Schizosaccharomyces pombe: one gene and its partners. Changing the gene in region 1 together with any one later gene gives a genetic interaction. Each region holds a gene or a part of one and is shown in the gene's direction. Other genes may lie near its edges. The genes, in order: pat1, cgs1, sec26 and rcd1.

Region 1 (5,140 bases):
CTTGGCAAGCTAGAAAAGCGTTCTTGCTTGCTGGATCCTGTGGGTGATTAACCACAATTCCAGAATTTCGATTTCAGCTTTCATATCCCCTGGTCATTAACGCGATTACTCTTACTCAGGTTGTTCGGCTGTCTACTGTGTTAAAGCAATAAAGAAAACACTACTTTTATCTGATTAGAAATCGAACCAAAATTAAAAAATTTATCTTTTATTCATTCTACACAAGTTTGGATTGTATTCTTATTTTTTTTATTTTATTTTTTTTTTAATTAAAAACTTCGAAATTCTATAAACAAACGTTGAATTGTCGAATTTGGATTTTATTTTTTCTTTAACCACCATTTTTTATTCTTACTAATATCCTCCCTTCCACCATCCTCGTTTTCTTTTACATTTGTTTTCCCTTCTTCCTCTTGGATTCTTATCATCTCCCGTGTCTAAAAGTTTCCATCTTACTCGTTTTTCTAACAAAGAAATCACTATTTCTCATCGCGACGAGCATTAGTCATATTTGAGTCGCGTTTCCTTTTCCTCTTTTTTAATTTATTATTTTTTTTTTGTTTTATTTATTTATTCTTTTTCACTTTCGTCTTTGGTTCTTGTTCGCGTCTGCTTTTCCTTTCTTTGTTCTTTCCCCTAGCCTCTTCGATTAGAGATAGATACTTCTTTCCATATCCAAACTTACTACTTCTCTGCTTTTCCCCAATGTAAATGGGAATTACCCTGAACGATTTCTTGTAAATTCCTTTGTGCTTGATGAAAATACTTTTCAAGAATTCTCTTCTCTCGGCTTTTCTTAATTACTCGATTTTTTCATTTTACATTCACAAATCCATATTGCTGTGCATACTTATTGACATTAGGTGAACTCATCTCTTTTTTCCCCAGTCCAACTCTTCCACCTAAGTCTATTGACTTACTCGCAAGCGTTGATTGTCGATTGTGTTTCCTTCTCATCCCCTCTCTTCTTTTTAAACCGAACATTCTATTCTCATTTTTACCTCAATTTGGAAAGGATATACTACTAGGTAAAAATTAATTCTACTTTTCTCCCCCATCTTTAACCGACTACTGACCTGTACATTTTCCCGATTTCTCTTACTGTTCCTTTGGAAAATCGTTGTGTGTCTTGTTTGTACGTTGATCTTTAGAGTTTCCTTTGATTATCTTGAGCATTCTTACTTTTTATTCCCTGCTTAAAATACTAATCATCATTTTTCCCGGTTTTTTATTCACATTCCCTTCTCACTTCCATTCGTTGTACTCAAAAGGACCTGTGCTTTTTAATCATAAACATTATATATTATTCGTTTTAACTCTTCCTTCCACAATTGCATTTCCCCTTTTCTTTATTAATTTTGTTTCTTGCATGTTGGTCGTTTTCTCTGTGATTGGCGTATTCGATTCTCTTTTTCATTCTTCGTTGTCGTATTTTTTACCTGCTTACAATTGAAAAAAAAATTTTTTTCTTGTAAATTCCCTTATATTATTAAACCTCAAACGATCAAGATAAAACCTATCATTGTGTTATTGACTATTTTCCTGTTTATAACGATCTTTGTTTTTTTTATCATTGATTTTAGAAGACATTAGAAAATCTAACCTTTCTCAAAGTTTTTTTTTTGTTTCGGTTGCAAAGTTCTTTAAGCTATTCAAAACTTTATCATCCGAAATACTTATTTTCTATTTTCTTATCTAATTTTCGCCATCAATTGGGACTTTATTTAATTTATCTTTACTAAACATTAGATGATGCGCGAAAATCCAGAACTCCTTTTGGGTCAGGTCTTGGGTGATTCTTTACGATTTGTTTCTATCATCGGTGCCGGTGCTTATGGTGTCGTGTACAAAGCAGAAGACATTTACGACGGTACCTTGTATGCAGTAAAGGCTTTATGTAAGGATGGCTTAAATGAAAAGCAGAAGAAGTTACAAGCTCGCGAACTTGCCTTACATGCTCGTGTTTCTTCACATCCTTATATTATTACATTGCACCGCGTGTTAGAAACGGAAGACGCCATTTATGTCGTTCTCCAGTATTGTCCGAATGGCGACCTTTTTACTTACATCACGGAGAAAAAGGTATATCAAGGGAATAGTCATTTAATTAAAACCGTTTTTTTACAGCTTATTTCTGCTGTTGAACATTGTCACTCAGTTGGCATATATCATCGAGATCTTAAACCCGAAAACATTATGGTTGGAAATGATGTAAACACCGTATACTTAGCTGATTTTGGTCTGGCTACTACAGAACCCTATTCAAGTGACTTTGGATGTGGTAGTCTGTTTTACATGTCTCCAGAATGTCAACGGGAGGTGAAAAAACTTAGTTCGCTGTCAGATATGCTACCGGTAACTCCTGAACCTATAGAATCACAATCATCCAGCTTTGCTACAGCGCCAAATGACGTCTGGGCTCTGGGAATTATATTAATTAATCTGTGTTGTAAGAGGAACCCTTGGAAGCGTGCATGTTCTCAAACTGATGGTACTTACCGTTCCTACGTTCACAATCCATCAACCCTTTTATCCATTTTACCCATCAGTAGAGAGCTCAATTCTCTACTCAATCGAATTTTTGATAGGAATCCCAAAACCCGAATCACATTACCCGAACTTTCCACGCTAGTATCAAACTGTAAGAACCTTACACGACGTTTACGACCTGCTCCCCTTGTTTCATCTCGTTATCTCGCATACCAACAACAACAACAACAGCAACAAATGAATTTGCAACAAGGAATTCAAGGTTACCCTCATCAAGGCTATATGCCGACTCAAAACATTGGCTTTCCCTGGCCTCCGACTCCCCAGTTTGTAAGTAATTGGAATCATTGTGCTACTCCAACGATCCCTGTCTCCTTACAAGTCCTTACACCAAATTCTTCACTTAAAGTAGATCCGACTACACCTCTTACAGCACCTATTCATGCAACCGAATCATTCTGGCCTTCTGCCGCAGCGGCGGCAGCAGCTGTCCATAACAATGCTAACTCATATATGCCTATTACACCCACACCCTATCCGAATAATGCAAAAATTTTCGGTTATCCTAATCAACCTCCGCTGACTCCCATACCTTTTACTGGATTCGTTTTGCATCCTGCACCAGTTGGTCGTGCTGCTGATGCCGTAGATCCATCTCGAAAATCGCTCTAAAGTTACTTGCTTCTTTTTTATATTCGCTACCGCACGTTGTTTTGTTCAGGGTTACTGCAAAACATTATAGAGGGCTTTGACTGCCCCAATAATTATTTCTCGGGATTTGAATTTTAACATTGTGTAAATAGCTAACATTTTATGCACTTGTTTTATACTTATATTTCTTCTTTTTTATATGTTTATTATGATGGTAGCATTATCTTTTTCTGTTAACAACATTGATGAATTTTTTTTGCTTGTGGTTTGTTCTTTAAAACAAAAATTTTTTTATAAATATATACTTAAAAAAAAAAAAAAGAAAAGGTAGACGAATGGATCGTTTTAACGACGGTTGTAATAGTAAATTTAAAGAGTTTAGAGCATGAAGCATGCAGTCATATTGTATCACCGCTATACTCGAAATGTTGAAGAGATAAAGCAAACTAAGCTTTTGGAATACGAAGATAGAAGGATATTATTCATAACTTGTAATAATATTGTTAAAAGTTAAAATATTAAATTAAATTTATAGATATCTTCTTGTAAATTCTAATATTACAATATTTTTACTGATATTTTTAAGCAATTATTATATCAAATATCGTTGTGTATATAGAATATTTTTTGGACAATATTTTCAAAAATAAAGATATTGTTAAGTTAAGTAAAGATATATTTTAGTAAAGGATGATAGAGAAAGAAATTAGAAAACTAGGTTTGAAGATGCAATTAAATTATAGCAATAATACAATTATAAGTTTCCTGTAAGGGGACAAATTTTACTAAACTTTGTTATTTATTATCTTTACACGAATTTCCACTGAATGTAAAGTGTATGTAGTAAACATTGTAACAAAATTCATAAATTTATATGTATATAGTTTTTTACTTTAGGTTGCATTAATAGATGATACAGTTTTTCTGTTTTAGATAACGCTATATTTTAAAAAACCAATGCTTCTAAAATTCGTTAAGCTTAGATAGGCATAGGAAAGTTGAACTAGGTCGAGAATTTTATTAGGCTGTACACAGAGGTTATCTGTGTGTTTTGTTAATAGAGTTTAACCGTTTTGGAAGCTAATTTACAAATACCGTAATGATTCTTGCAGTACACAAAAATGGCGTTTTTTTGATAGTATAAAATTTTTGGCAGTGTTTTTTACTCTAATAGGGCGTGAAGGTGCGAGTAAACAAAGAAGTGGAAAGGAAGGTCGGGACTGTAACTCACGCGAAAGAGTTGTTCTAGTAGATGGAATAGGAAGAGTTACGCTACTTTGCCACGCCAGGGGAGAAAAAGTAAATTTGGAAAGGAATAGGGAACCTTTTTCTCATAGCTTTTTGGGGTATTGTACGGAATGCATCATTACCATCATCCGTACACCACAGGAAGAGTAGCGATGGCAGGTGGCATGTTCCGGTAAGTTATGTTTGGGCGAAACCGAATGCGAGACCTTTTAGGCGAGATGAAGATGGTGAGATGGTGAAACAAAAAGGTTAATTTGCAGGGAGAAAAAAAGGTTAGACGGAGGGCTGGAAGAGGGATGTCAGCTTGAGTGAAGAGCTAACAAGAGCGGAAAAGAATAGAGAGGCAAAGGAAGAACACTATGGTTTTGTTTAGGGAATAAGAATATGAAGTTGTAGTGCATATATAGTAAAGGAATGGAAAGGAATGAGAAAGATAGAGTGGATAGATGAATGATGAATGGATGAATAGGTGAATGAAGTGGAATATGTATTTCTATAAAGAATGCTAGGAGTAAAGGAATGAAATAGAAAGGATTGGGTAAGAAAAAGTGTGTGTATGTATGAGTGTATTAGTGAATGAGATTCTGTGCAAACGAAAAAGTAGGATAATAAACTTAATGGATGGAAAATCAATTACACAAACTATGCTGTCTACTTAAAAAAATAAATAAATAAATAAAACCTACAACTCGACAAACCATGCTATCAAATATAAAAAGTCTACAGGCTGTACCACATAATGTGTTTATAT
Region 2 (6,254 bases), on another chromosome or scaffold:
TTGGATGCTTGACCCCTCTTACATAGATCAATTTGAGGGTAATTTCTTTAGAAGAACAAAAAAGCCCACCCCTTCTGCTACACCAGCTGCTCATCCTGATACTGCTAGGGAGAATGAATTAGCCGCTATCCAGACAAAGGGTATATCAGCTGGAAAAACCGAACAGCTTAATCCGCAAAAAGAAACTAGTCGTAGTAAAACTCATACTTCCCGAGGAGAAAATGTAGAGGATCGACCACAATCCTTACTTCAAAATGGCATTCAACCTATCATTATGCGCGATGGGAAACTTGCTTTGAACCCCGAGTTTTTCAAGAATGCAAATGGAGAGCAACAGGCTCCCAACGAGCAAGCCGTTCAAGCAATTTCACTACTCCAACAGCACATTAATAAGCAGCTAGGACCTGCCGCTGCCAACAACCCGGAGCAAGCCACAGCGATTGCGAATGCTCTCGCTGTGGCTTTAGCCCAAAAACTTCAAAAGCAGCAAACGCAAATGCAAGGGCCCCAACAAGTGCAACAACAGGCAAAGCGTCGTAAAGCTTATACTTCACAGCAACTTAATCCGGCGCCGACTGCAATGCCGCACCCTAACATAACATCACCGTCTCCTAGTATCTCAGTCACTCAACGTCCTGCAGTAAACGTTGGACCACCTCCATATGTTAGGCCATCTGCTCCTTCGAAGTTACCAGATACACGCCAGAGTATTGGAGACCCGTTACCCCCAGGAGCAATGGCTAATGTGTCCGCGGGGCCATCGTCAGTTCGATCATCGTCGTACAACTCCACTGCTTCTGAAAGCAAATCAGAGATAACAAGCCATCAAAATCTACACACCATACCAATAAACAAACCATTCACTTCTGATCGGCCTTTATACTCTTCGCCTAATGATACTTTAGAGAGAGTTGAAACAGGCAATCAAGGACAAAGGATGAATTCCATTGGAAATGCATCAAGCTTTAGTAAAAGAGATATAATGGAAAACGAAAATGGATCTTTTGATACTAATGCAAAGAACGGAAACAATGTTGACGACTCATCTTCAGTAAGGGGCATGAATTTACCATCAAACTCAAGCGACGCTTTACGAGGAGTAAAGCGACCGTTGGACGAGACATCATCCTCTTATACCTGAATTTACTAATGCTCATGCACGTAACGTTGTTGATGACTTCTTAATTAATACATTAGTGCCGAAAATTACACTTACCAGCATGCATAAGCTGTTTCATTTTTCTTTTTTTGACAGTGATTGCACAACTTGGTCTTTGGGTGGTTTCTACTTTTATTTCTCATGTGTTTAATGTTTACCTTAGTTAATACTTTACATAATAAATTGCCGTCTGGTTTTATTTCATTTAATAAGCATTTTCGTTTTCTTGTCGAAAAAGTTAATAGCAAAGCAGGAAGGGTATGGAGGATTCGCTTTTGTTATCTGTGAACATTAGCGATTCCTTATTTACGTTTTCATTGAAACCTTTGTTTAGCCAATACAGAAAGCATATTTACTTCAATGATTGTTTTTATAGCACTTTTAATAAGACCAAAACTATTATTGTTGTAATCCTGTCGGGCAAGCTCTCTGATCTGATAGACTTCAAAAGTTACATTGAATTTGTTTTGAAAACAAACAACTCATATTCAGCGATTCTAATTTCTTACTATAGATGTATATTTATCATATCACTTTTCCATAGACCGCTCACTATTCATTTCTTAACTAACTTAACTCACGGATGTACAAGAAGCTTCACAAAATAATATACCGAAACACTGGAAAACGCAAGCTATGTTGCATCGTCAAACATTCTACTCTCTATTTTTTTATGCGCTTCGATAAACCCCATATTATGGAGTCAGGGCATTGCGTAGTACATTTTATGACGTATGAGTGAGCTAATGCAGGCATCCATCCATTTTAGTCCAACGCCTCAGGTAGACTTTAAACATACATCTCAACCGTAACAAACGAAGGTAAATAACTGATTTGTATAGCTGAATTCAGCTCTTTTATTTTGGAAAATTTACCTCTTGTGGTTGATTAAAGTGTCAGGAAAAGCTGAAGCGAACAAAAACCGCGAGATTGTGATTCACTGAGAGTAAGAAACAAAAAACCGCATTTTTTGAAAGAAAGGCACGTAAACTTTAGGAGACATGTCTTTCGAAGAAGTATATGAGGAGCTAAAAGCCCTTGTTGATGAGCAAAATCCTTCAGATGTACTTCAATTTTGCTATGACTTTTTTGGAGAAAAGCTGAAAGCTGAGCGCTCAGTATTTCGTCGAGGTAAGTAGATGCTTCTGGATAGCTATGTTTAGTGGAGAGGAAAAGTAAATGATGGTCAATATGGGTTCTTTTTTGTGGTTTTTTACTTTGTTTTGCTCTATAGTAAGTATTTTCTAAATTTAGTCAGCAAACAGCAATTATGATTCCTGGCTGTTAATAATTCCACAAAGTTGTTTAAGGACCCTGTACCCATTTAATCTCCCACTCTATACTACACAAATTTTACCCTTTTTTGTTTTATCATGTTAACAAATTTCTCTTTTAGGCGACACCATTACAGAGTCTTTTAGCGACGGAGATGAAAGCGATTTCCTGTCTGAGCTCAACGATATGGTTGCTGGCCCCGAGGCAATTGGTCCGGATGCCAAATACGTTCCTGAATTGGGAGGATTAAAAGAAATGAACGTTTCATATCCGCAAAACTACAATCTGTTGCGTCGCCAATCTGTTTCCACTGAGTCGATGAATCCTAGTGCATTTGCACTAGAGACCAAACGAACCTTTCCTCCGAAGGATCCTGAAGATTTGAAAAGACTAAAGCGCTCAGTTGCTGGGAACTTTTTGTTTAAGAATTTGGATGAAGAACATTACAACGAGGTTCTGAACGCTATGACTGAAAAACGGATTGGAGAGGCTGGTGTTGCTGTCATTGTCCAAGGAGCAGTTGGAGATTACTTTTATATTGTGGAGCAAGGTGAATTCGATGTATACAAAAGGCCCGAACTAAATATTACCCCTGAAGAAGTGCTTTCGAGTGGTTATGGTAACTACATAACTACGATTTCTCCCGGTGAATATTTTGGAGAGTTGGCACTCATGTATAATGCTCCACGAGCTGCATCGGTGGTCTCCAAAACACCAAATAATGTAATTTACGCATTAGATCGTACAAGTTTCCGTCGTATCGTATTTGAAAACGCATATCGCCAGAGGATGCTGTATGAAAGCCTCCTTGAAGAAGTTCCCATTCTCTCAAGCCTTGACAAATATCAACGACAAAAAATTGCCGATGCTCTTCAGACAGTCGTGTATCAAGCCGGTAGCATCGTTATTCGACAAGGCGACATTGGTAACCAGTTTTATCTGATAGAGGATGGCGAGGCTGAAGTAGTGAAGAATGGCAAAGGCGTAGTCGTTACCCTAACCAAGGGAGATTACTTTGGTGAACTAGCTTTAATTCACGAAACAGTGAGAAATGCGACGGTACAGGCAAAAACTCGCCTGAAACTTGCTACATTTGATAAACCTACATTTAATAGACTACTTGGTAACGCGATCGATTTGATGCGTAATCAACCTCGTGCCAGGATGGGAATGGATAATGAGTATGGTGACCAATCTCTTCATAGGTCACCTCCATCAACTAAAGCATAAAATTTCTATAATCTGTTTTCTTTGAAACTATCTTTGTAATAATGACCTGTCATGATATGCTAAAGAATTTCCCTGTTGTTTGTTTGCCTTCTAACTTTTTCATATTGGTCATGCATGCATGTGATTGTTTACCATTATCCCTGGAATAATTTACTTATTCATGTTGAACATGTTTTGTTTGGATTACTTATCTAATTCAGCATTATATGTGATAATGTATATATACGTATTATTCTTTTTTATTTCTTTGAAAACCTTTATGTCTTGTTCTAGCATGGCACTGGATATGGTTTGTTAATGTTTTAATTCCAATTATATTCGTGATTACCACTTCACTGTTCTTATTTTGTTTTTTTTTTTCTTTTTGAAATTTCCTTTTTTTTTTATTATTTTTATCTGTCGAATATCGCAGCATTTGATGTTTGGAAGCTTACCGTTTAGTTTGTGTTTTTTTTTTCGTACGGATCATGACAGTTATTTTATCGTTCTCTTCATCCTGTTTTTTTTTGTTTTTTAATCGATATTTGATATCGTCAAATATTTCTATCTATATGGAGAGTTCTTATATTTGTTTTTTGAATAATCACACACTCTTCAAAACAGCAGCTGCATTCAATAATGTACTTGGCATTGGAGTAACGCACATTATACAAGAATTACCGTGGTCCGTAAACACTTGCAAGCATGAAATACTTAGAAAGCTTTAGGCAGACGCTAGACGTGGGGAAAGGGATGAAGTGTTAAAAATTCAAGAGTGTGGATGTTTTGTATGCAAACTGAGTGAGTTCTCGGTTTTTGTAGTTACGTGACATAACTTTAAAAATTTTATGAGAAATTGACTAATATCAAGAATTGAGAATAGTTTTTTAATACAATACACAAAATTTTTACCAAGTTTTGAGTAAAGGGGTGCAAATTAGATGAAACTACAGTCTGCGATAAACGATACGTGTAACTAGGAGAATGCAAATTGTGTAAAAAACTTATAAAACGAATATCTTGTTAGACAAATAAATTCAGCAAAAAGCGAAAGGACTTTTATTCAATTATCAAATCCGTACGAAATGGGATACAAAAAATTTTAAAGAATACTCAATTTCGTACATTCAATGTTCTTGCGAACATAATAAATAAAAAAACGACTACAGTTGCGAACTATGCGTAAGGTTTTCTTAAACAAGAAAAATTTTTTTCCCCATATTCCATACTACATATTTACTGTGAATGTTCTTAGTAGGGTAGGTTATTCACAACAAGCACAACGGGTAGAAATGACAATTACTGCAGAATAAAGTTAAGCACTCGAGATAAATTGTAATATTAAGAAGATGATCAGCGAAGCAATGTTTTGGTAAAGAAATGTTTTGTTTTGTGTCTTACTTTCGTCTGAATTAACTTTGTTTACATATGCATTTTTTCACTCACATAACAGGGTTTCGTATAAATTCTAGTTACGCCAAGATTTACAACTTCTACCAACCACCAAACAAGAACGCAGAGCGTGTAAAAGTAGAACAAAAATTGAGTTGAATATGACCACGAATCCCGATATTGTTAAACAGACGAAAAATGAAATTCACCAAGTAACGTCGAGAGTCCAGGAGAAGCTGGATTCGAAAAGTACCAACGCGGTCGAGCAGAATAACAATTCTTCCCAGGCGTCCGTCACCAAGGATAACAAGAAGAAGGCCGCTAAACGCGCCAAAAAGAAGGCTGCAAAAAAGAAGAAGCAGTCAGCAGCAGCATCTGCCTCTTCCACACCTGTGGAAGAAGCTCAGCACGCGCAAGAGGAACAACAAGAACAAACCATATTACAAGAGCCAGGATTTACACAAACTATAGTGGAGAAAGACGCTGATCAGGTTGACGAGCCTTTGGAACCCATAGCATCCTCAGCTCTGGGTACTGTAGAGCCGCCTACTGACAACAAACCCTCTGCCTCCACGTCAACAGCAGTGCCAACTACGGAAGCACGCAATACAAGTATTACCGAACCCGCCAATTCCCCTTCCTCCTCCTCCTCATCCGCTTCTACAAAGTCTACTGCAACCACACAATCCGCTGATTACGTCGTAGCCGAACATTTCGCACCCCAGCGCAATGACGAGCAACTCGGTAATTCCCCAGCTTCGATTACGTCTAAGCCAGCAACGACATCTGCTGCGCAACCTTCTTCGAAAGTAGAGGAAAACATGGCGAAAGCTACTTCACAACCCATTACTACCGCTGAGAAAGAAATTCCAGAATTGAAGCCCATTGAGCCTGAAGCTATTATGATATCGAAAGAAATAAATACTACGCATGATCAGGCAGCAGCTACGACAACAGCAGCAGTTGCCTCTGCCTCTACTACTGCCACTGCTGAGTCACATGCAGTGGCCGATGGAATTATGAATGATAACGTACTTGAAAGCATTGGTGAAAACGTTCAGCAAGAGACGGTTTTCGAGGATGCGAGCGACATTCCACATGCAGATGTCATCCCCCATACCACCACAGTAACGGTGGAAGAAGAATCGCCCATCGCCCTTGGCCAGGGAGGTGTGACGCATGAGGCAACAACCAGTGCTAGAGCTAGTGCTAGTGGCAT
Region 3 (6,587 bases), 650 kb from region 1:
TAATAGCTTGAATGAGTAATATACCTTTTCTTTAAATATTTCGTGATTATTTAGAGCTGTTGAGAATCCCTTAAGAGGAATACAATAAAGCAGGATAAAGAAATGTTTTTCTATTAACTTTGTTATGCATGTTTGCAATCGAAGTTTGTTTTTAAACAAATACTCCTCTATTCAATAAATCTAACTTTGTAATAAGTTACCTGCAAATAAGCCATTTTTCTTTTATTTTACAGATAAAGCCCATTTTCATTATCTGTATCACGTACTCCCAGTGTGAAGTTACTTAGGTTACCTTGTTTCTTAATCCATCAAAAACTCTTTTCTTTGTCCTTAGCATTCTTTGTTTAAAGTTGTATATAAGGGGAACTTGAGAGATTTGAATTTACTTACAACACATATATTAAATATTGCTTTCAACACACGTTTGTACTTTTATTTTCCAAGATTTCCCTTTCTGAGAAATATTTGTCAATTAGTAAACATATAAGGCAGGCTACAAAAGATATCATTTGTATAGTTATAGTGAATTGAAATTTTATCGTTAAAAAGAATACTGCGGTTTATTGCAACTGGTTTTGTATAAATAATAAGGATGATGTCGAACGAGAATTTTGATAATGACTACAATCTGCCACCACCAAATGATTCTGCGGAAGATTTAAAAATTTTCATTGAAAGATACGAGAGATCTGTAGATTCTACATTGTTAGAAATTGACGAAAACAAAAGAGAAGCACTTGAAAAAAATATATTGAGGAATGAGATCGTAAAATGAAATATGAAATTGAATGCAATGAAAGGCTACAAGGATGGAAAAAGTTAGCGATTGAAAGGGAAATTTCTGAAGAACAATCGGGAGAAGTACAATTTCCACGCTGGATAGATGAATGGGCAAACACTAAACTAGGTGGAATTTTCGAACGAATATTTTCTAAAATGGACTCAATGCAAAATGACATGAATTCTCGGTTTGACGCTATGCAGAATGAGATGACATCTATGAAAGGCGAAATGGCCGAAATGAAAGTTGAAATGGTTGAAATGAAAAGGGAAACGATCCGTTTGAACACTAGAATTGATTTACTCGAACAAAAAACTGAAGCAAGGTTTCAGTCAATAGAGCAGCGATTTAATTCTATTGACCAACGATTTGACTCTATGGAGCAGCGACTTGACTCAATGGATCAGAAAATGGAAACAATTGATGCTCGCTCATGTAGGTCGATCATGTTGACAAGAAAGCTTGAAAATGCAACTCGTTCAGACCAAGGTTATTTGGCGTCACCAGTACCATTTCTGAATGGTAATGAGCCGGTTAGTAGTGGATTACCGCCGATAGAAAGAGTCGAAGACATTGACGAATTGTCAAAGGAACAGTGTGTCCAATATCTTAAGGGATACGGTATAACGTTTAGTCCTGCTGAGACTATTAAGTTGAAAAAGCGACTTCGTGATACAGTAGGCTTATGGTCAAAAGCGAGTACTGAATATGAATTTCATCAGTTCCATTGAATTTATGTTTTTATTCAAATATCTTGCTTTCTTATTCGCTTTTTATTGATACTTTGATATTTTATTGTATGTTTTCTCTTTGATGTTTTATGATTCGGTGTTAAACGTTTTTTAATGAAATTGATGCTTTATATAATTAGATGTCAATTGATACCTTCTATCCTAAAGCTTCTAAAGTGAAAGACGTATATTTGCAATATCTAGAAGGGTAGTTCACTTCACCAGTGAAAACTTCAACTGCCATATAAAATTGACCCTATAACAAATTAATCACCTTCTTTTATTGTAAAGCGCCATACGCTAGTATGAGTTGCAACTGATGATAAACTTTAAGTCACTAGTAAAAATACACGATTCCTATAAAAGATACACATCAAGTATACTTAAAGTACTTTTTTTAAGATTTTGCGGACGCAAAAATATAGATCGAATCAAATGTCTGTTCACTTATATATTTCTTGGGCGTCTTCATATTAATGTGCCCTAATATGCTGTATAAATTTTCTCCCTCATTTGGTCCTTTTAATTTAATAGAAACTGTTTTATCCTTACAAATATTATAGTAAGTGCTTGTCTGTTTCCTCTGGTTTTGCAATCATTTCTGCAACTAACAGTGCTTTTTAATGCAGTACACTAAAAGTACAGCGATGTGTTAATAGAAGTATCTGTGCAAGTTGAAACATACAGTATACAAATTATTGTATGTGTAGGCACTGAGATATATGATTTTCGATTTCATTCAAAATAAGAATTTGAAAGAATAAATTAGTTTTTTATTAGTTTATCTATATATATAATTTTTGCAGCTGATAAAATTTATGTTTACCACCCCTCTAAGCTTTCTACCTTGGCTATACAACACCTGCTTTCAACAAACATCAGGTTGGTTTTGCCGTCACCATACCTTAAGCAGCAAATATGTCTTGTTGGACACTTGTTCAACAGGATTTTTTAGAAGCTCCATCTGTTGATGCTCTAAAAACCTCGTTAGAGTCCAAAAATGATTATGTCAAGATATCTGCCATGAAGACAATCCTGCGGGTCGTAATTAACGGGGATTCTCTTCCTTCCATTTTAATGCACGTGATTCGATTTGTAATGCCTTCCAGAAATAAAGAACTGAAAAAGCTTTTGTACTATTACTGGGAAGTTTGTCCTAAGTATAACAACGATGGCACTATGAAACAAGAAATGATCTTAGCTTGTAACTCATTTCGCAATGACTTGCAACATCCTAATGAGTTCATTCGGGGAGCTACTTTACGATTTCTTTGTAAATTGAAAGAGCCAGAGCTTTTGGATCCCTTAATCCCAACCGTCCGCCAATGCTTAGAACATCGTCATGCCTATGTCCGTAAAAATGCTATTCTTGCCGTCTTTAGCATATATCAAGTCTCTAATCATCTCATTCCTGACGCTGCCAGTTTAGCCGAGGACTTCCTTGCAGCTGAGTCTGAGGGAACTTGCAAACGAAATGCTTTAATAGTTTTGTTTACTATCGATCCCGAAAAAGCTAAAGCTTGGCTTTTGGCAAATTTTGAGCAAATTCCCTCTCTGAACGCTTCTTCCCTTCTCGTTATCATTGAATTTATTCGTAAAGTCGTTTTAACGAAAGCTGATGGTCTCGAAAAACTTAGATTCCAATCTCTTTTGGTATCCTTGACTGCCACAAACAATAGTAGTGTAGTTTTCGAGGCAGCTACTTCAGTTATTAATGTATTTCCCGATGCGGAGTCTCTGAAGCTCGCTGCGTCTCGTCTATTAGCACTAGCAGATCGCGAAGCCGACAATAACGCCAAGTTAATTATGCTGGATCGTATTTCTCAATTGGCGGCCCGTGATAAATCAATCTTAGAAGACCTCATAACAGATGTGATTCCATTCCTTTCTAGTTCAGATTTTGATGTCTGTGAGAAAGCTATCTCAATCATTATGGGCTTAGTTTCTAGCAGAAACGTTGAAGACATACTTAACCATTTTCAAAAGGAACTTACTAAATCGAATGGAGAAACTGAAAAGGATGATGGTCGCCGTCGTGCTCTTACGAAGGCTATTCATTCTTGTGCTATTAACTTCCCTCACACTGCTGCTACTGCTATCCAATACTTACTCAGCCATATATCGGACTTTCAAAGCAAATCCGCTTCTAGTGTTTTATCATTTATTAAAGAGGTCATGGAAAAATTCCCGGATCTCCGATCATCAAATATTACTAAGCTCCTGCTCTCTTTGAAAGAGCTTCGTGCTGGTAAAATTTTCCGTGGTGTAATATGGATTGCTGGCGAGTACTGTCTAACTGAGGACGATATACGCGTTGCGTGGAAGAGTATTAGAGCAAGCCTTGGAGAAGTTCCAATTTTGGCGTCAGAGGAGCAACTTTTAAAAGACGTTTCCAATGTACCTGAGGACGATTTGCTTATTGATATATCTGCTCCGGCTTCAACAAGTCGAAAGGTCCTTCCTGATGGAACCTACGCTACCGAGAGTGCAGTCACTAGTGAAGCTTTAAGTGCTGCTCGTTTGGAGGCTGTCAAAGCTTCAAAAAAGCCACCGTTGCGCACACAGATTTTGAGTGGTGATTACTATCTTGCTGCTGTTTTAGCTTCTGCTCTTACAAAGCTTGTGATGCGTTTTGCTCGACTTTCTTTCGACAAAGAACGATTGAACGCTCTCAAAGCTGAAGCATGTCTTATTATGACATCTATAATTCGAGTGGGTCAGTCCAAGTTTGTAAAATATACCATTGATGATGACTCTGTTGAGCGTATTATGAACTGTATCAGGGCCATATATTCCTTTGAAGAGCTTCCTGAATTCCAAACGGTGTTTCTTGATGATATGCGAAAAGCATTTTCATCACTTGTTGCTCAATCAGACAAGCGACAAAAGGAGGCAGATTTGTTAGTTAATGGAAGTGATGCTGTTCAAGCCGATGAGCTACTGAATATTCGCCAATTTCAAAGGGTCATTGAAGAAAAGCAGGATCTTAATTTTGAGTCCGACATCATACAAGCCACCAACGATGGTATGGTAGTGGAAGATTTGGCATCTAAATTAGATCATATCGTACAATTAGCCGGTTTTACAGATCCTGTTTACTGTGAGGCATATGTGAAGATACAACAATTTGATATTATTCTAGACATATTATTGGTTAATCGAACGGATACCACGTTACAGAATCTCTCTGTTGATTTGGCTACGTTGGGAGATCTTAAGGTTGTAGAGCGTCCACCACCCATGAATTTAGGACCTCATGCCTTTAAATCTGTTCAGGCTACGGTAAAGGTATCTTCAACGGAGTCTGCAGTAATCTTTGGAAATATCGTGTATGGTGGTAAAGCATCCGACGAAGACAAAATTGTTGTTTTGAATGGCATTCCAGTCAACATTATTGATTATATAAAACCCGCATTCATTCCCGAATCTCAATTCCGTAGCATGTGGACGGAATTTGAATGGGAAAACAAGGTCGATATTTCTTCCAACGAAGACATTAGTCTGTACGATTTCTTACATAAAATAATGAAGAAAACCAATATGAACTGTCTTACTCCAGACGCGTCTCTGCGTGGTGACTGTGGTTTTTTGAGTGCTAATTTGTACGCCTGCAGTATTTTTGGGGAAGACGCACTTATGAGTCTTAGCGTTGAAAAATCCGTCTCCGGTCCTATCTCAGGACATGTTCGCATTCGTTCAAAAACTCAAGGCATTGCCCTTAGCTTGGGTGCATTTGTTTAGAGTAGAATTATATAAGGAATGTTATCCACTCTTTAAATTTCTTGATGGATTAAATTCACAATGGGAAAGCTGTTATGGATGCTGATTTAGTAGGTATATCATGTGTCTAATATTTCGCTAAATCGATATCTGATACGCTGTTTTATTACTCTTGTTGTAAATACCTTTCCTGCCGTTCTTTATTTAGCTCCTTATGATATTTCTACGATTTCGCAATTAAAAGGAGCCTGCCTTGTCATGTTCTCACTACTTGATATCCTGACATTACTAAAGTTGTGTACCTTGTATTTCTCTGTAACAGGCAAGTAGATTAGCTTTCATCTCGTGCATTTAGTTTGGTATTATATATAAACCCCGTTATTTCAATTAATTATGGCACTCACAAACGTTGTCTATAAATCACTGTTTGTATTCTTTTATAAATGATATAAACAGATGATTATGTTTAAGTTACTGCAAATCATATAGCTTCTCTCATATTGTGTTACATCCTAATATCTGTAATAAGTTAATTGTCATAGAATATACTCAAGGTCAATACGAGAACTACAGTTGTATTTGCTGGGGAATTCAACCTTTTATGTCGCGTTATAATAATCTGCGGCTGCTTTGGTTCTTGAAACGGCGATAGCCGTTATATCTAAAATACTTCAAAACTTCTCGCTTTATGAAAGGTATCTTCGACTTAAAATATTCATAATTGAAAATTCATGTTCATTTAATTCATCTTATCGACTACATGAACACACAATAATCAAATCAAGTATTAACTAATTCAAGCGCGTTATGTTTATCACTTCATCATAATTAGTCGCAAATTTCATACCTTTAGTGTGTTCGTTACCTTACCTAATGAAGTTACCCTAAAACACATTTGGATAAGTTTCGTTCGAGTATGTTACATAACAAGCCTCTTTCGGCTAGGTAATTGTTTTAATGTCAATACCAAAAATGGATGAAGCAAACGACAGAAAGCTAAAGTATATTCAATTTTCAGCTAAAGTACAATTTTAATAATTGGGGTCTGAAGTTTCGAACGGTCTTTGGCAATATTGACCTAGAAACTCATATTTCGCTCATTTTAACGATCCGTAACGCAATTATCTCAGTATTAGAAGAAACCTACACGTAAGTGCGGACTTGTCGTTAACCTATCTCTTGTTCGGCCATAAGTGAATAGATTTTATGGTAAGTAAATATGCATGCCGAATGTTAGCTAATTAATAAATTAGGCCATCCTTAAGAGAACAAACCGCGCGAAAGCTGCGACTGCAGCTGCTCCCAATAGCACTGGGAAAAGCAATGGTATTAAAAAGGCTGTTTATACCAGCACA
Region 4 (3,895 bases), on another chromosome or scaffold:
TTTACGGTTTCAAAAGTCCCTTCCATTCCGTGAATGGAAGGAACCTCGTGGACTTCATGGTCTTCATTTTCATGCTCAAAAGTTGTAATTAAATCAGATGTCTGATCTTCCATATCAAGAGTGTCATTATATTGAGAGTTCGTAATGTATGCATTCTCAACTGAAGTACTAGTTTCTATCTTTTCGACTTCTGGAGATGGTGGTTTAGGAATTGTCTCATCATTATCATATATTTCTTTTTGCGACGATGAATAGTTTTCGTCACCCTTAAGAGTCGTTTCTAAGTCTTCCTTGCTCAAGTCTTCTTCAGAGAGTTTATCGTCTTCATCCACAACAGGCTCATCCATTATGTCAGAAATAATGGTTCCAGCAGTAATTTTTACCAAGTTATCATTTGAAGACTCCTCTTCTGTGTGAGCCGATTTGTCGCCAATGGTATTTTGAGGATTAATTTCCTGCACATTGTCCAAAGAATTACTCTCTATTAAGTTGCTTTCTTCTTTAACACCTTCTTTAGGCTCAGAGGAAGGCAACTGAATGTCAATTTCTGAAACTGACTGTTGAGAGGAGCTATTGGCTATGTTGTTTTCAACAAAGGAATCCATAGGTTCAATTGTGCTTTGTTCTTTTCTAGAGGTAGAAAAAATGGTGTTTTCATCTGTCACATCAATATCGTCAGCTTCAAAAGACTTGCGTATAGAATCATGCCGTCCTTCAAGATCAACAGAAGACTCCTTAGGCTCGTGGTCTGATTCAATATCCATTCCTTGATACGTTAGTGCCCAATATTATATTACTAAGACGAAAAATTTAGCTTATTTTTTAAACGAAAAATAGGCAGCAAAGTATACCAATAAATGGAGGATAAAACAATGCTCAAAGTTGTAGGAAAAAAATTGGCCCCTAGCTTTCCATGAGAAATGGTCAACCAAAATTTCACAAACAGTAATCGAAAATAATAATAGGTAGGTTCAAATAAAAAACAATCAACCACAAGGATATAGAAAATGGTAGGAAGTTTGTTGATGGCGCCAGTCAGTATCGAGAGATTAAAGTCAGAAGCAGAATAGCATACATCCTTATACTACGCTATATTAATTGTTCGTGAATGTTGTTCATAATTCTTCGTAAGGGTAAATATAGTAAACAAAAAAGCTATTCAAACATTAACGCAATTATTGAAGAAGAAACGGCTCAAGTTATTATATGTTTGAATACTAAATTACTCTTGATGAAAGTGTAAATGATGTGCAATTAGCAAACATCAACGGTTACGCATTCGGTATGAATATGTATTTACAAATCTTTAGAAAAGTAGTATTTACAAAAGCGTTAGAAATAACTTTTAAAAAAGGCTTTCAAAGATATAACATAGGTAAATTCCTTTTCTTATATCTCTGTTATTTTATAGCTTCTATTAGAAGCGAGCTAAGAATGGTTAAATACCTTTTCTAAATGCGTTTTGCCCACTTTTCTTTAAAAATATTTGATTCTCCTTATTACTCAGTAATGTATCTTGCATTTTTCTAACGCGCAGTGCGGTAGGTTTGCTATTCCCTGCCAACACTGTGCTTGTCCATTGCTCTCACGCGAAATCTACGGAACAGCATTTGCAGTTCAGGTTTATAAGATTGTTGTATTTTAAATTATTTAAGTCCAGTATTGCTGTGCAAGTTGATACTGTTTGGCACGCATAGCACGAGGACTGAAATTCCATTAAAATTTTAAAAGCTTTATCATTTTCTCGACACTCAGCACTTTACTGACTGTCGTTTAACGTTAATACCTTTTCTTTACCTTTTAGTGCATTATTCTATCCTTTGGATTGAACTACAAATTCGTTAGGTGTTGCTCTTTAGTTCCGGCAGCTATAAAATTATTATTCTTTATTTTATTCTTTTCGACAATAAACTATAGCATTTTTATTTCTTTCCCGCATTCTAGAAAAAATGGAAAACTTGGAATCCCCTAATTATGAACCAGCACTTGTCTATGAATGGATAATTCAACTTGTTTCTGGGACATCTCGCGAACAAGCTCTTGTCGAACTATCTCGTAAACGAGAACAGTATGAAGATTTGGCTCTTATTTTATGGCATTCATATGGTGTGATGACGGCTTTGTTGCAAGAAATTATCAGCGTTTATCCTCTTTTAAATCCACCCACACTTACAGGACCAACTAGTAACAGAGTGTGCAACGCGCTAGCTTTACTCCAGTGTATCGCTTCTCATCCTGAAACTAGAATCCACTTTTTAAATGCACACATTACTTTATTTCTATACCCGTTTTTGAATACCCTTTCAAAATCCAAACCTTTTGAATACCTGCGCCTTACTAGTTTAGGGGTGATTGGTGCATTAGTTAAAAATGACTCTCCAGAAGTAATCAACTTTTTATTATCTACAGAAATTATTCCTCTTTGTCTCAGAATCATGGAGAACGGTTCTGAATTATCAAAAACCGTTGCGATTTTCATCGTACAAAAATTTTTATGTGACGACGTTGGTCTTCAATATATTTGTCAAACATATGAACGCTTTTATGCAGTTGCGTCGGTTTTGAACAACATGGTAATGCAGCTTGTAGACTCTTTTGCTTTTCGTTTACTAAAGCATGTTATTCGTTGCTATCTTCGTCTTAGTGACAATCCTCGCGCCAGAGAAGCTCTAAGACACTGTCTACCAGAACCTTTACGTGATGCTACCTTTGCTCAGGTTTTAAAGGATGATCACAACACTAAAAAATGTCTTGCCCAATTGTTAATCAACTTATCAGACGTCGCCGTTGTTAATCAGTAATCGTTATTTTTTTTTTTTTTAAAAAACTTTTCTTAAATGTTGAATTAATTATTTCAATATCTGCCCTTCGTTTCCTATCTGGTTTACTTTCAATCATAATTTGTGACCGTAAGTGATTGGCATATGGCGATTTTTTGTGTTATTCGTCCGTCACCAATTTTTTCTTGTGTCTTTCTTATATCTTCCTTTATTATTATTTTTGCCCTGTCATTTTTCACTCCTCTTAATGTGCTCAAGTTATTCCTCAGGACAGAACTTACTCTGATGGCTTTTTTAAGGAAATCAGGGGTTTACTGTTAATTTTGCTTACAATTGTTAGATTCAGGATTTCATATCCTTTTCTCTTAATCTTTCCTTAAAATGCGTCACGAATGATGATTTTTACGAGTCAGCAAAATTTAAAAAAAAAAATAGAAAAAGATATAACATTCGCCGACGCATTTAATGTTTTTAACCAAAACACCTTTTTTCCTATTTCGTATCATATATACTTATACTATTTCTACAATATTCAATTCAGTTTCATCGATTACCTCTAATAAATTTAAAGAATTCGTACAATAGACAACAGAATTTGATTTATATTTACGTTCGTTAATTCTGCTATACTTCATTCAAGCAAATAATCAGATAAAAGTAATTTGAGATAATTTGTCCTCCTAATTATAGTGTTTGTCATATGCGACTACCAAGAATTACTAAATTTGCTTTATATCGAGAAAACCCTTGCCTACTCCCTCTTTATCATGCCACAAGAGATCCATCTTTGGCTAAAAGAGAGTGGACGTGGATATGCAAGGAATTAAAGCTGCTGTATCCAGAAATTAGCAAACATGGGTTGCGAAAAAAGATAGTAAATGCCTGTCAACTTCGAGCAAGAAACTATCCACTTCAGTATATACTGAAAAGTCAACCTTTTGGTAATATCAAGATAGATTGTCAACAAGGAGTTTTAATACCTCGTTGGGAAACAGAAGAATGGGTTGAACGTGTGGTTGATAAGCTAAATCGACTCGAGAGATTAAAACCGTTAAAGATTCTCGATTTATGTACAGGGTCTGGCTGCATATCAAGCTTTGTGTTGGCAAACCTAA

The links.
Region 2: of pat1 (region 1) and cgs1, changing one suppresses a phenotype caused by changing the other (phenotypic suppression), as found in Schizosaccharomyces pombe (one study listed by BioGRID).
Region 3: of pat1 (region 1) and sec26, changing one suppresses a phenotype caused by changing the other (phenotypic suppression), as found in Schizosaccharomyces pombe (one study listed by BioGRID).
Region 4: of pat1 (region 1) and rcd1, a mutation in one rescues a mutant of the other (synthetic rescue), as found in Schizosaccharomyces pombe (one study listed by BioGRID).

The regions. Positions count from the first base shown.
Region 1 is NC_003423.3:1,681,112-1,686,251, forward strand, and holds pat1 (serine/threonine protein kinase Ran1/Pat1), read left to right. Parts: upstream 1-1,749; coding exon 1,750-3,162; 3' UTR 3,163-3,444; downstream 3,445-5,140. UniProt on the Schizosaccharomyces pombe protein: This protein is a negative regulator of both sexual conjugation and meiosis. It phosphorylates mei2. It blocks the onset of meiosis until conjugation takes place.
Region 2 is NC_003424.3:3,641,079-3,647,332, forward strand, and holds cgs1 (cAMP-dependent protein kinase regulatory subunit Cgs1), read left to right. Parts: upstream 1-1,950; 5' UTR 1,951-2,160; coding exon 2,161-2,290; exon of another isoform or gene 2,291-2,555; coding exon 2,556-3,664; 3' UTR 3,665-4,558; downstream 4,559-6,254. Other genes in the region: DNA-binding forkhead transcription factor for ribosomal proteins Fhl1, read left to right, coding at 1-1,141; SPOM_SPAC1142.09 (uncharacterized protein), read left to right, coding at 1,420-1,767; SPOM_SPAC8C9.04 (uncharacterized protein), read left to right, coding at 5,197-6,254.
Region 3 is NC_003423.3:1,027,782-1,034,368, reverse strand, and holds sec26 (coatomer beta subunit Sec26), read left to right. Parts: upstream 1-2,430; coding exon 2,431-5,253; 3' UTR 5,254-5,491; downstream 5,492-6,587. Other genes in the region: myosin I myo1, read left to right, coding at 6,439-6,441, 6,486-6,587. UniProt on the Schizosaccharomyces pombe protein: The coatomer is a cytosolic protein complex that binds to dilysine motifs and reversibly associates with Golgi non-clathrin-coated vesicles, which further mediate biosynthetic protein transport from the ER, via the Golgi up to the trans Golgi network.
Region 4 is NC_003424.3:5,416,866-5,420,760, reverse strand, and holds rcd1 (CCR4-NOT complex subunit Rcd1), read left to right. Parts: upstream 1-1,587; 5' UTR 1,588-1,949; coding exon 1,950-2,801; 3' UTR 2,802-3,395; downstream 3,396-3,895. Other genes in the region: multidomain vesicle coat component Sec16, read right to left, coding at 1-764; mtq1 (S-adenosylmethionine-dependent methyltransferase), read left to right, coding at 3,481-3,895. UniProt on the Schizosaccharomyces pombe protein: A differentiation-controlling factor that is essential for the onset of sexual development. Induces ste11 when sexual development is invoked through nitrogen starvation.